Linked DNA regions of Drosophila melanogaster. The protein of the gene in region 1 purifies or fractionates together with the protein of each later gene. This does not show direct contact. Each region holds a gene or a part of one and is shown on either strand. Other genes may lie near its edges.

Region 1 (7,450 bases):
AGTTCACTCTGCTCAGCATCATCATGTGCATTCTGGGCATGGGCCTGGCCATCGGTGTCGTCATTGGCCTGAGCATGCTGCTGTTCATTCAGCTGAAGACGATTGTAAACAACCAGACGGGCATAGAGATCTGGATAGTGGAGAAGGCCATTTACCGCCGATATAGGAATGCCGACTGCGACGACGAGTTCCTATATCCCTATGATTTGGGCTGGCGGGCAAATTTGCGACTGGTATTCAATGACGAGTGCCAAAAGCGAGGCGATGGCATCGAGTGGCCAGTGGTGGAGGGTTGTGATCAGTATACATTGACGGTGAGTATTGCAGATTGTATTTAGAGAGCGCAGATTAACATGTATTTCCTGCAGCGCGAGCAACTGGCGCAGAAGGAGGAGAAACGAGCTCGAACCCGCACCTTCAAATGCACAAGGCCAGTGACTGGCCGTTGGCTGCCGATCTTTTCGCAGGGTTGGCGTGTTTGTGTGGCCGCTCCCTGCTCCGATGAGCCACGCATCAGCCTGCGACCCAACGACATGATTAAGGTCACTCGCTTCCGCAACCACTGGCTGTTCGGCGAGCGAGTGCTTTCCGAGCAAGAGCTAGCTGGCGTCAAGAAGCGCCAACGCAAGGGTCCCATTCGTGGCTGGTTCCCACGACGCAGCGCCGTTGAGGTCATTGAGGCGGTCCATGAAGGCAGCGGCGATGGCAACAGCGAGACACCAGCACCTGCGGCCCAGAATGGCAACGCCCACAGCCACTTGAAGCAGCAGCAGCGAAACGGACATGCCAAAAAGTACATGTAGCCCGGATCGGGCAGAGATCAATCGATGGCATTCTGTGCCACATTCGGCTTGTATATAGAATTAGATTCCGCTTGGAGACTCGACTGTTTAACGCTTAGCCAGGCCGTCATCCCGTTTACTCTGTTAACAATGTCGACCAATAAATAACGCGAAAGTTTGGTATCAGTTGCTGATGTGAATCGAAATTAATCCAGTTGTGTATCAGCAGATAACGCTTATCTTTTTCAGATAGTAAATGCAGCGTAAATCTCATGGCGACAAAGTAAAATATATATAAATATGTATAATTAAAGTATTGTTTTAAAGTTTCCCATAGAAACTTGACAAACCTTTAGATGTCAACTGATGAGACCTTATTTATTTATTGGGTATTCCATAATTTGATTATGATACAGATTATATTACATATGTTTACGCGTGGAATATAGTTTAAAAGCTCTAAACCGGCGAATCATATTTACAGGTCATGGTTGCCTCGATGTCCTCCACCGTTCGCGGCACAATCGCAAAGTTCTCCACGCCAGTCTTCGTGATGAGCACATCGTCCTCGATGCGCACACCTCCGAAATTCCGGAAGCGATTGAACATCTCTGCGTTAATGAATTTAGCAATGTTCGGATCGGCCAGAGCGCGGTCCATCAGCCAGTTGATGAAGTAGCAGCCGGGTTCGATTGTGACATACATGCCGGCCTTAAGGATGCGGGCAAAGCGCAGCTTGCTCAGCCACGGTTCACTGGGGCGCTTGGGCTCCTTGGGCAGATAGCCGCCCACGTCGTGCACATCCAGACCGATCAAGTGGCCCAGGCCATGTGGCTGGAACACGCCCGAAACACCTGCCTCGAGCATCTCCTCCACATCGCCCTTGAGCATGCCGCCCTCCTTCAGGCGCTGCAGCAACACCCTGCCCGCCAGCTTGTGCATGTCCACCCAGGAGACTCCGTCACGGGCTGACTCTGTGACCGCATTGCGGGCATCCAGCACGGCATTGTAGATGAACTTCTGGTCGTCGGTGAACTTTCCATTGGCCGGGAATGTGCAGGTTATGTCGGCCGCATAGCCACAATAGTTGGCTCCCATATCGAACAGGCAGAGATCACCATCCTGGACGGGCTTGCTGTTGGGTGCGCCCGCGTGTCCATAGTGCAAGATCGACGAGTTCGTTCCGCTGCCGCATATGCAGGTGTAGGAGGCATGCCGGCAGCCGCCCACGGAGTAGGCGTGGTGCAGGAACAGGGATTCGCCCTCAAATTCCATTCTACCGGGACGCATAAACCGCATCACCTTGATGTGCGCGTCCGAGGATACCTTGGCCACGTAGCGCAGCACCTCGATCTCTTCGGGTGACTTGATCACTCGGCACTCAGAGAGAATTGGATACAGCAGATTGCAGTCAGTCACATACTTCTCCTTGCCAGCAAAGTCGGGCGGCTGAAGGGTGAGCCCGCTATCGCTGTTGGTGCCACTCAATGTGAGTATCAGCTTGGGCGACGCCCCCTCCAGATAAACACTCATTTCGTCAACATAAAACACCTCGTCCACCTCGTACATGGCCTTGAACTCCTGCAGCCCAAGCAGTTCGCCCATCCAGGTGCCGTACTCATCGGGAAAGCGAGGAACAAAGAGAACACTTTTCTGTGCACCAGTTTTCACATCAATGGTTAGGATGCCGTAGCAGCCCGGCTCCTTGACACCGAACAAGTACTGGAAATAGGACTCCTGCCGGAAAACGTAGTCCACGTCGGTGTTGTACAGGCTCTGGTCCTTGCCGCCCTCGAGGAGCACCAGCAGGTTGCCGTCGTTGAACTTGAGGCCCGGCAGCAGCTCCTTAAGGATGGCCTTGCCAGCACGATCCCTGTTGTTCCGGAAGAGGGTCATGGGCACTGCGTAACCCGATCCCATCTGAAAGGCGGCCATGGTGTTGCGACGGAGGACAAAGTTTAACTGGCGCTCTGGACAACAATGAGTGCTCGAGCAAGTGAGATTAGCTGATAATAGCCAATAACCGGGCTAACAAAGGCAGTAAATTATGTGGGTTTTATCAGTGTTTTTTGTTTTCTGTTTTCGCAAAAGTATGACCGAGAACTGAACGCGAAAAAAAACAAGCTTAAATTACAATTCATCGATCGGGAATTTTATTTTTTTAAATATATTCTTTAATATTTTTAATTAGCTCAATTCATTTATTTATCATACGGTTTTCCTTTTTGGCAGCCGACCTTGAAAATAAAGGATTTCCCTAAATAAACACAGATTAACATTTTGTTCAAATGAGCTAGCAATTGAAACTAGTTCCGCAGAGCGAGGCACAGAAACTATCGATAACCTACAGCATCGGCATCATTCCCAAGTCTGGTCACACTGGAAGTGGCTTTTTTTGCAAATTTTATTTTCATAATTGAGAAAAATTTGCATTTTAAAGCGAAACAGCAACGGATTAAGCTCTCGAATCTCAACAATATAACAGCCAGCTTGTGGGCGCAGCCAGCAGAGCATCACCAGTATTAAGTATAGGGCGAACGCAGCCCAGTGACCGTTTTCCACCTACTATCCAATTTCAATGTCGGCGTCACAACGCGGCGGATGCAACAACAAATGAGTCGTTGTTCTGTTCCAAGCTAATTAAGTACACGCTGTGTGGGCCGCCGACTCCAATGCGCCGCTAGCGGGGATCACGAGCAGTTGGCGTCATGTCCAGTTCGGTGTTTACGGAGGCGCCCAGCGCCCGGCCGGCGGCAGCCGAAGCCGACTCCAATCTGGTTGTGGTCTACAGCAAGAGCGGAATCTCCTTCGACGAGCGTGCGATTGGGAACATCATGGGTAAGTGGGTCCAATAGGCCTGACACACGCTCATTGCTCCCCACACTGACATGGGCTTGTTGCAGAGGAAAAATCGATTTCCACCATTAGCGTGGTGCGGATTACATCGCCCACGCCGAGCATGGTGGACCAAGAGGAAGACGAACGGCTGGAGGAGCTGGCGAACTTTATGGAAACTGCCACCGACTCGGAGCTGGACAGTGACAATGGCAGCCAAAGTGGTGGCGATAATGCCAGTGAGATGGATGAACACGACGAGGAGAACCATAACACCGGTGACGACAACAATAGCGACTCCACGGAGACGGAAGCCGATGCCCCGCGCACACGCAAGCGAGTTGGCCGAAAGCCCAAGGCCATCAAAAAGCGAAAGCGACGCAAACCCAAGGAGCGTCCACAAATTGTGGGTTTGCGAGTGGAGCAGTTTTATGCGGACAACACGGCTGATATGGTTGTGAAAAATGCACTGAGTAAATAACGTACATCGATGTGGTCCAAATGATAAAGCAAAACAACATCATTATTTCGAGCACAACGAAAGTAAACGAACTTTAGCTTTCAACTAATTTGTATTCTATTTACAGAGCTTGCCGGAGTTTCCGTCTACAAAAGGACTGCGGAGACAGACGCTCTTATGGAAGTTATTCGAAATGACCACAACTACACACCGTTTACCTCGCCAGAGCAGCTGAAGAACCACAAGCGCGATGAGAAGATGGCCATGGAAATGCAGGCCCAAAGCCGCAAAATCATAATGCAGGCACCGGGCAGTGTCAAGCTAATCAATGCCAAAAAACGAGTCCAGGCCATACCCTTAAGCCCGGTGCAGGTCAAGGTCCAGAGACTGCCAGTCAAGCCCCACCAAGTTCAGCAGGCAGCGCAGCTGCAACCGAAAGTGCAGCTGATCCGCAAGCCCATCCATTCGCCACTGCCAAGACAGAAGCCAGAGATTATCGCGAACAATTCGGTCAATGCCAGGCTGAGGCCCACTCGTGCTCCAGTCAAAGTGATTGCTCCGCCTGTGCAGGAATACATCGAAGATGATGATGACGCCCAAAGCTCGGATTCCGCCGAAGAGGAAAATGCCGACAAGGCCTATGATTCGGAGGAAATGAGTGAGGAGAGCGATGAGTTCCAGGAATCGGACAACGACAGGGACAGTGACATGGACTTCGATATGAGGCATAGCAATAGACGTAATCCGAATAAGAGGAAGCGGGTTAGAAAGGTGGTTAGGCAGACTCCCAGCAAACCAATGAAGCCGCTGCCTCCGCCACCCACAACGCCGCAGCACTTCCCCGAGCTGAAGAAACGCAAGGAAGTTTTGGAGCCGAAGGCGCCGCAAATTGGGCAAATAATCCAGATGCCTGCCACAAAATCAGTGCCCGCAGTGTTTGCCCTAGGCAGAGGTCTTCCAAGCACATCGTTTCTCAAAATCCGGCCCACACATCAATCGCTGCCTGTGAAGAGACCTCCACTGCCAACGACACCGGCCAATTCCAATGTTCGTCGTATGCCTGCCGTGCAATTGGGAAGGATCGTAAACTCGCCGCAGGAAGTTAAAGAGATTATTATCAACAAGAATATGGCCAGTCCCAAAGGAGTGTTTACCAATCTCAACACTTTGCTGGGTGAGGACAACAATGCAGCCACAAAATCTTCGCCAGTTCCACTCCGACACCGGGCCGTCATGTCGCCAAGCACGCCGAGATCGAGCTACAATCAGCAGATGTCGCCAATTGTGGTTCCGGTTCCTGCTCAGGCACATACCCCATCCAAGGGCTTCATGCCCATCGGCGTGGACACAGCTCAGTCGCATAAACTGCCCGCCCAAATAGTAATCGAGACGCACCAGAGTTCCTCCGAGCTGGCAGCAGAAAATGACAAGCAGCTCGATCTGATCAACTCGATTGTGCAGGACGAGCTACTTAAGTCCACGCTTGTGGAGCAGCCGGTAGTAAATGCGGACGAGGATATACCGAAACTGGTTAAGATGCTGGAGAGTACAGCGGCGGATCTAGATCCGCCACCAGTGTCCTTGCCTACGAATATTTTTCCAGCTCCCGAGATGCAGGGAGTGGGAAATGCAGCTGCAGCCGATCCGAATAATATAATGGATACGGCGAATGAGGATGAGATTACAGCTGATTTTCTCCAGCACGTGGTCGGTCTCATCGAGGAGGACAAACAGTTTGAGGCCGAGGTGGTTAAGCAAGTATTGGCTAGTACAGAGCCCGGAACCCTGGACGCCATCGTATCTATGCCTACGTCCATTGAGCCCGTAGACGTGCCGCAAGTACAGGCAAGTGTAGAATATCCTGGTTATTGATTTTGCTAGCTAACTGCATTGCTCCTTTACAGGCACACACGAACCTACTGCCGAATGCAAGTCTTACGGAGCCCGCACAATCGATGACCTCATTGCCGATTGCCTGCAGTACACCCTCGAGGAGCGTGGCAGCAAGCACTCCGCCCACCTCCGCGAAGGTTGTGCGCGGCTACGGTCGGGTCATATACCTGCCTCCCATTGAAGCCCCCACCACGCGGGCCAAGCGACGAGCACAGTTTCCTTCAGCTCCGGGCATGGCTGCGACCAGTTCCAGTGATGCAGGCAACCTGTCGTTTGGTGAATCTTCGTTGGATGCGAGCATCAATCAGCCGCTCAATACCAGCAGCCTGAGCAATGACAGCCAGCCGGGAAGTGGGCCGAAACGACCCAATCCTAGAGAGCCATCGATGGCCAGACGTTCAACGGCACCCAGAAGATCAAAGAAGCTTGATGCAAGTCAGAACAATGATCCCGACGCTTCAGAGTCTCAGGAGGATGACGATGACCCCAACAAGTAAGATTATAGTTGGATATTTCATAGATGCAAATCTGTGCGTTTGTTGAAAACCTTTTTTGTTTTTTTTTTTTTTTTTTTGGTTTAGGCTCTGGTGCATTTGTCGTCAGCCACACAACAATCGTTTCATGATCTGCTGCGATTTGTGCGAGGATTGGTTCCACGGCACATGCGTGGGGGTGACCAAGGCGATGGGCACAGATATGGAAAACAAGGGCATCGACTGGAAGTGCCCCAAATGCGTTAAAAGGCAGGAGGAGAGGGTAAAGTCATACAATAGACATAAAGTTACCTTTTATTGATTCGTTATCTTTGTAGAGCCAACCACGAATAACAGACATGTTGGTCACCAGACCAACCACTCAACCTGAGCAGAGGCCGAGTGAAACCAAAGTACTAACTACGACAGCAGAAATTGTTCAGGTCGCGGCTCCTTCGGCTCCCAGAAGAACACTACCGGTGGTCTTAACTGTAGCCAGTTCCCCCATGCGTATTCCAATGGCAAAGCCGGCCAAAAAGTTCCCAACCGGTGCAATCTCTCACCAGCAGCAGCAGCAGCTGAACTTTATCAGACTGGGCCCATCACCTGGCAAACGAATTTCGGAGACGTTATGTGTGGTCTGCAAGCGACCGGCGAGCACCTCTTCCGTCTATTGTGGCGAAGAGTGCATCCGGAAGTATGCCCAAAGTGCAATTCAAGCACATGCTGCTACCAAAGGCCCATTGCCACAGAATGCCGGTGCTCAGTCTTTGCTGAACAACTCCTTCGATGCCAAAAAGAACAAGAAGAAGGACTTGTTTGAGGACGTGCTGAGGCAAGCGGACACTGTGTCAAAAGTGGAACGGGTATGCAATAAAGGTTAATTTAATTAGAACTATACAACAAATAATGTGCACACTTTGCTTTGCAGATTAATGTGTTTGAGCGTAAAAGTGGTCGGGTTATCACCGGGCACATGGCCCCTTCTGCACATCAGTTTCGGAAAT
Region 2 (7,450 bases), on another chromosome or scaffold:
CGGCGGAAACCAAGCGGCCGCCGCCATCGGACTCTTGGTAGAAGAACTTCATTTTGGTTAGGTCCACATCCTCGTCCAGATTAAGCAGGGCCGCCTTCTCGCCAGCCATAATCTTTAGCATGGGTCGCAGGTCCTCGGCAAATCGTGACATAGGTCCCAGGCCGAGGAAGGAGTTCTGCTCGGCACTGAAGGGCGCTGGGAACTGACCGACATTGGAGACGACCAACTTGCTGGGCTTGTGGCCAAAGATGCCATTGAAAAAGGCTGGCATGCGAATGGAGCCGCCAATGTCGGAGCCCAAGCCAAAGGCGGAGGCAGCCGCCGACTGTATGCAGCCCTCGCCACCGCTGGAGCCACCGACAATGCGGTTAGTGTCGTAGGCATTCCTTGTCCTGCCGTGCACCGTATTGTTGCTCTCCCACCACATGCACACCTCGGAAACATTTGTGAGGGCTATGGGAATGGCTCCCGCCTTGCGCATCAAGGCCATAGCGTCCGCATCCCGCGCAGCACGCACATCCCGACGTTCGAAGAGTCCAGCTGTGTGCAGCATGCCTAAAGCCAAACACATGATTGAGCTATAGCAATGGTAATCCAATTAAGAAACTTATGGGAGCTACGCACCCTTGACGGATATGCAATCCTTGGTGGTAATGGGCACGCCCAGGAAGGGCTTCTCCTTCTCCAACTCCTCCGTGCTGTATTGTCCAGACTTGATCAGGGCATCTGCTTCGGCTGCCTCCTTGAGAGCTTGATCGTAACGTTCATCCACGACACAGTTGAGAATGGGATTCACCTCTTTGATGCGCCGGATAAATGATTCCAAGACCTGGACGCTGCTCAGCTGCTCAAGATGAGTGAAAGTTAGGTGTTTTGTAGATGAAACGATTGCACACACTCACCTCCTGTTTGCGGATTTTCCGTGCCAACGATGTGGCGGACTCCAAGAGAATGGCATCTGTGATCGGTGGAACACTCTCACCCTTTTGGCCATAGATCAGCCGGAAAACAAAGCGAATGCAGGCCTGGAGAATGCCGAAAATGTAACCACCAATGGCCTGGGTCAGTGGCACGCTCTTCGCCATTTTGTGGAATTCTAAGGAATGTGCGCCTGAAGAAGCTCAGCTACTAGGACTCAGAATTGGAACTGCGGGTGTTGGTGGCTGTGTACTTTGCCCTGGCCCATGTGTTATTGCTCTGGAATGTTGAAACGATAACAAAAATGAAATAAATGCATTGAAAATTCATGTTAAATATACTTAAATGAAGGAAGGCACTCATGAATGTGGTTTATTTGCAATTTAAACTGGTTTATCAGGCAACTTTTATAAGACCTTATATAGCAAAAGTAAAAAATAAACAACAAATCAGTAGAAATATAAAATTGGGTCAAAATACCTCGTTCTGGATTTATGATTGGTAATTCAGTCATTTAAGTCGGCAATTCATTTTATGGATATAATGGGTTTTACGCAATATATGAACGTTTCATATCGAAACGGAAAATTTCTATTTATGTGTCTTGAATTATTTCGTGTTTTCATGCCACAAAGTCTCATGATTTCGAATAGTATTTAGCATTACTTATCTACAATAATAAATGAAATTGGTGACAATTTTAATAAAAATAAATATAGTACTCATAGTTGTAGTTCTTTTCACACATCTCAGGTTTAATGACTCGGCAATTAATTGAGCCGTCCCATTCCCAGATAGGCCAAGTCCACACCTGTGTGTGACTCATGGATAGATGGATTCATAAAGGCACATAGGAAATATGGAATCTATATTCGAAATGTAGAACTTTTCTCCAAAGTGCATACATAGAGTAGGAAACCGCGATCATTATATTGGTCCCAAAACAAATAAAGTAACTGAAAATTGCACTAAAATTCAGCAAATAATGACAATATACGTATTGTATTGGGAAAAACGTGTATTTCCGGATAACGAAGAAAAGCCAAAGGAAGCCTATGCATAATACTTCGCTGTTCTGGAAAAGGTTGTTTAAACAAATGACTTTACTGTTCAACTCGTAAACATTTCACTGTTTACAAAAACGAACAATGGAAACTTGTATGGAATTGGATATATGTATACACACATAGATATATGGTTAATATATAGAGCTGGAATCGGGGCAGTATAATGTTTAAGGGAGCCATATGCCCGGCCAGAATCAGGATTTACCTCATTATCTTATCAGGAGTGCGCATCAGACAGCTAATTCGCTGCTTAAACACGAGAAGATAATGGCACAAAGGGAAGCAGACCACGGAGAGTGGTGAATAGCCGAAAAGCCGATCCCCGTCAGCTCACTAAACAGCCAGGTCGTTAACCATATCCACATCAGTACTCCAAATGGTATTACAGAAAAAAAAAAACCAACTGATAAGCGGAGTGAGTCACAGGTCGAAGCTGTTTGTTTATGCCATTCGTTTGCCATAAAAAATAGAGCAACAATTGAAATAGTCGGTTTTGAGCAATCCGAAAAGTGCTTCGTGAATGATTAGTGGAACTCAAAGTTCCCACTTCCTATCGCAATGTGCTTATCTACATATTAATAATAAGAATAATATGTTGTTACGATTTGATTATTCTATTAAGAATGCCTTTCAACATATCGCAGTCTGCTAATTGAACTGCCAGACATTCGAATTTTGAATGCAGTGAGTGCATTATAATCAAGTTCGCACTTTCAAATTGCGGTTGGGGTGAATATTCACGGGGGGGGTGGTGACAATTTGTCTGCCCGTGATTTTGAATAACAAACGAATAAAATGGGTAAAATTGCCAAGAGCATGCTATATGAAGTTCAAAGCACTCTGTATAATGAATGGCAATTATTTTAAATTGGTTTGTAAGCCAGAAATGTTCAGTAGAGCCGGGTTTTTCGTATTTTAAAGTTACAAATAGAAATTCACACTTTAATAGCTCAAAGTCTCATGAGGCCGGTTCCTAGAACTCACTCATAATATTTAATGGAATATCTTTTATAAGCCATTCAAAGTTTGATACTAATGGGTTGCAGTGACACAAATCAAATGGCAAACATTTTCCTGGTGCAATATAAATCTTTTTTGCTTCAGTCGGTCGAAGTTCAATGGGTGGAGATGCGGGACGATAATGGTCCAATAATCGGGCACTTAAGTGGCCAATCCGATAAGATTAGCCATAAATAATAATGAACTTGTTGCTTAGCTCCCCTTTTTGGCTCAGTGTCCAAAATATTCAATTGTAAATTACTCGAGCGACATCCAATCGGAATGTCAATCGCAGTTGCATGCCATTTCTAATTAGAAAAGAGTAGACGGGCCATTGATTTCCAACTGGATGGTGAGATATACATATGTACATATATGTACGCAAAAGGTGGAAAAGCGAAGGTTGCGACCGGCGAAATGGTTTCTGGGGTGTGGTAGGGGCGGCATCGGGGCGAGGGAGTTACCCGGGCGTGCGCCAGTGACATCATTTCGCTATTTCCATTTTCATTTCCAGCATATGCTTTGTTTGCACTACGAATTCATCAAGTGTCATTTGGCACTATGTGCGTACACTGTGCACATGTATGTGTGAGTAAAGTTTGTTTGCCTCAAAAATAAAGCAAACAAAAACATAAACTTAAAACAACACAATCCAACCGATGACGTCACGAGGGAGCCTTTTTATTGTTCAAAATGGAACAATGAATGGGTCACAAGGATAAGAATGATCAGAAATAGCACTTTGTTGAAGTTTAAATTGCAAATAACCGGTTGGCGAACAATGATTAGCGGTTACAAAGCGTTTGGCTGTATTCACAATCGCACAGCTACACTTTAGAGCGGCACGTAAACAAAACGATATGAAACCCAAGATAAGCATTTATACACACACACACACAGAGAGAAAAGTCTAGTTCTCCACCGCAGCGGCAAACAAACTCTATTATTTACCCGCTAAGCACAAACTCAAGTCCAATCAGATGGGCGACTTTTTTTTAAACCTACAGCGCTAGCGTGACCGTGCTTGCCATGCTGGGAAATAACAAACTCGGTTGCGACCAAATTATCGATAGACAAATATGGCAATTTAATACGCGTAGTTTAGTTTTGGTGAAATAAGGCAAATATCAGAGGCATAATTTATAAGATTATTAAGTAAAACCATATAAATAATATAAAAATAAAACAATTAGATGAATAAAAGTTCTTCAACAAAAAAGGGATTAGGTTCAAGTAATTGTTTATTATGTGTGAAAAGCACCTAATTCTTAGGGAGCAATAAAAGATTGATGCGGAATATTGTTCGTTGTTGCTGATGCGAGGTGTCAGGTGGAGAAATACTATTTTAATAGGTTTAGTATTTTTAGACCCTTATGCAGGGAACGCACACTCAAGCAGAGTGGCAACGCCAGCCAAAATTCGAGTTTGACGCTTTCAAAAATGACATCCTAAAACGTTTGCTGCCTGGAAGAGAAGTGAAAACGAACTAAAAGTCGGGTATTATTAGTCTAAGGAAATGAGTACCAAACAGAGCCCGGCCCTCCAGCTGGCGGAGGGGCAGCTAACCAAGCTGACTAGCGAATCGGAAGAGATCCGTATGCGCGCGCTCGACCAGATTGAGACGAGATTCATCAGGTGCCTGCAACTGGGCGAGCCGATACAGTTCAAGCCGGTCCTGCTGCTGAAGCAGCTCATCCGCTGGTTCGGGTACACACCGCCGCTGGTGCCCGACCGTGTGCTGGCCATGATTATGGAACTCCTTCGATCCGAGTACGCCGAGGCGGTGATTCGCAAGATTCCTTACGAACGCTTCAAGGCCGAGCTGCAGAAGGTTCGCCGTGTGCTACACAAGCAGGAGTCCAAGCGGGTCAGCGAATTGCTGGATGATATGAATTTGCTGCTTCTCGAGAAGTACAACATAGACCGGGTGACGCCGAGCGTCTCCAGCCTTAGTTCAAATGACATTCCCAGTCAGGCAACTGAATCCGCAGACAGCAGTTCGAATCAGATTTACGACAATCTGAAACCGGAAGATTACGAGCCCTCCTGGTCGCATCCGTGCTTGGACGATGTGGCCACCATGAAGAGCATGATTGATTTGCCACGAAATAGCGTTGAGTTGCAGTTGCAGCTCACCGAACTGATCATCCGTATGGGCGACTACCCAACTGAGTACTTTCTGCAGCCACCGTTCGTATTCTTGCATCTGGTTCAGTTGCAAACGATGACTGACGGTAGCCTGATACATGTGAACCGGGCACTAATTGCCTGCCTGCGGCTGCTGCAGCAGCGCATCTTGTTGCGCCGAAACACTCTGAGCTACGCGGACAGGTTCGATCCTCCGTCACGCCCCAAGCAAGTGAAGGTGGTGAGCGCCTTGGTAATTCTGCTGGAAAATTGCATGAAGCTGATTCGTCCGTTGCTGTTCAGCTGCACAAACGACAACTGGCACATAATGGAGCTGATCGTGGAAATAGTGCGGACCCACGATGTTCTCAGCTCAAAAATTCCCTTAGTGAGCATTACGCTCATCGCGGACGCGGTCAAAAGTCTGCTGGCGTATTGTAACAGTGTAGAAGGCAGTTGCATGACCCAGCTGATGGACTCGCTCAGGATTCCCCGCCTGCAATCGCTGATCCTTAACGGCGTGCTGCACGATATGGTGGCCTTAAATATAAACTATGACAAACGCATGGACCGACGCCAAGCCAAAGCACTCATCCAACCTATAGTTTTGGACAGCGCTTACCTGTCTGGCATGCCCGAGCGCATGAAGTCGCTAAACACTCTAATATCGTCTTTGGATTCTGGACCATCACCGGACGAGGAGTTGATCAAGCTGAAGCGGGCCTACAGCGTGGCCCTAAATCAATTACATCCGAATACGGAACTGACTGGGTCGCTGCTAATCCAGAAGTACAGACAAGTGTGCCTTGTGCTCGTCCAACTGGGCAGTGAGACATTGGTAAAGCAGCTCTTCGGAGCTGTTGTAAAATGCATTCCATTCTACGCGGGCAATTTAAAGCTAAGAAAGGATGCGGATGAGCTGCTTTACACCCTTGTTGATTTGCCTGCTCTCAAACTTCGTTCACTTATATATCGTTTAATGATCAAATCCACCGTGGCCCACTTTCATTCCTTTATGAACAAGACAGTCTATATGACCGGCTGCAGCAATGTGGATCTGATTCGTCAGCATATCTTAGGCGTGCCGCTAACTCCCCTGCTGTTACGCAGAATGATAATTCAGAGTTCGGAAGCAAATACTTCGGAACGTATGCAGCAGTGGTGCCTCGACTATCCTATAATGATTATGAAGCTAAACGCTATTCTAGCTCCGCAGGATTTCAGCGTTGTTTTCCCGTTGCTACTCCCCGTGCTGCCTCTGCTGATCAGCAGGTCGGTTACACACAAGATATTGCACAACGTCATATGGAACGTTTTAGAGCCGGACTCCAGCCGTTTGGATCCGCAATTGATGCTGCGCGGGTACGTTTACTTCATGTTCCATCCGGATGGCGAGGTTAGGAGCGAGGCCACCACTACAATTGCTTACGTGCTGCAATGTCAGGAGCAAACGAATAGATATTTGCCCACCGCAAGCAACGTACCGGTTGAGCACATCGCCAACGATCTCTGCATAATTCAACCACCATTCTGTTATAGAAGCATTTTCATCAAATGCTCTGATGAGCGGTTTCAAGGTCAGCGCAGCTTGGACGCCCTGTTCCGATTACTCCAGGCCAAGGACATAAAGTCGAATATCCGAAAGTCAACAATGACTCAATTAAATGTCTTGCTACGAAACTGGAGAGCTTGTGAGGAATTCTCCACAAAGGAGGATGGATATCGACTGATTATGGAGTCTCTGCACAACGCTCTGAAAAAGGGGAACGACACTGATATTCTGCTGCCCACTGTGAGTATCCTGATGAAGCTTCTGTTCAATGACGATGAGTTTCGATTAGAAGTCGCGAACACATTCGGGGTGTACACTTTACTGCTGAGGGCTTTATTCTTGTTCCCCCACTTGGAACAGTTGCGCCAGGATGTCAGTATATGCCTGTTCCAAATGCTGTTCCAGAATTGTATCACCTCCACTGAAGACAAACTGGTACTGAATGCGAATATGGAACCCCTGATTTTGCCTGTAACCTATGAAATTGAACATAAAGTTATACCCACTGCCGTTACGGAAGGATTGGAGCTGCAACAAAATGTGGAGGCGACCCATTTCGGGCGAGATAGGGCAAAAGCTGCACAGCATTGGCGACTGTATATGGCCTATCGCGTTTGCCAGGTTCCATCCAGCATTACTTTGGAGTCTGTGAGCGCTTTGGATATAAGGGAGTCTCTTAAGATCAAAATGGCCGATTTGGCGTTAGTAAGATCCTCCGACTTAAATGAGCAGCTAAGTTGTCAGTTTATCGCAGCGGAGAATTGCAGCAAACACGAGGATCTGCAAA

Evidence for each region. Proteins that work in one complex are often made in the same cells at the same time.
Region 2: the proteins of Dip-C (region 1) and CG8839 purify together in Drosophila melanogaster (affinity purification with mass spectrometry, with the first as the bait; one large-scale study listed by BioGRID). This does not show direct contact.

What each region holds. Positions count from the first base shown.
Region 1 is NT_033777.3:12,410,667-12,418,116, forward strand, and holds Dip-C (dipeptidase C), read right to left. Parts: upstream 3,094-7,450; 5' UTR 2,718-3,093; coding exon 1,242-2,717; 3' UTR 1,143-1,241; downstream 1-1,142. Other genes in the region: CG5196 (uncharacterized protein), read left to right, coding at 1-314, 369-803; pps (protein partner of snf), read left to right, coding at 3,491-3,620, 3,686-4,090, 4,205-5,922, 5,982-6,463, 6,552-6,726, 6,782-7,309, 7,375-7,450.
Region 2 is NT_033778.4:12,340,586-12,348,035, forward strand, and holds the start of CG8839 (uncharacterized protein), read right to left. Parts: upstream 4,033-7,450; 5' UTR 3,875-4,032; intron 1,512-3,874; exon of another isoform or gene 1,399-1,511; intron 1,346-1,398; exon of another isoform or gene 1,260-1,345; intron 1,198-1,259; 5' UTR 1,086-1,197; coding exon 903-1,085; intron 845-902; coding exon 625-844; intron 556-624; coding exon 1-555. Other genes in the region: ana3 (anastral spindle 3), read left to right, coding at 4,501-7,450.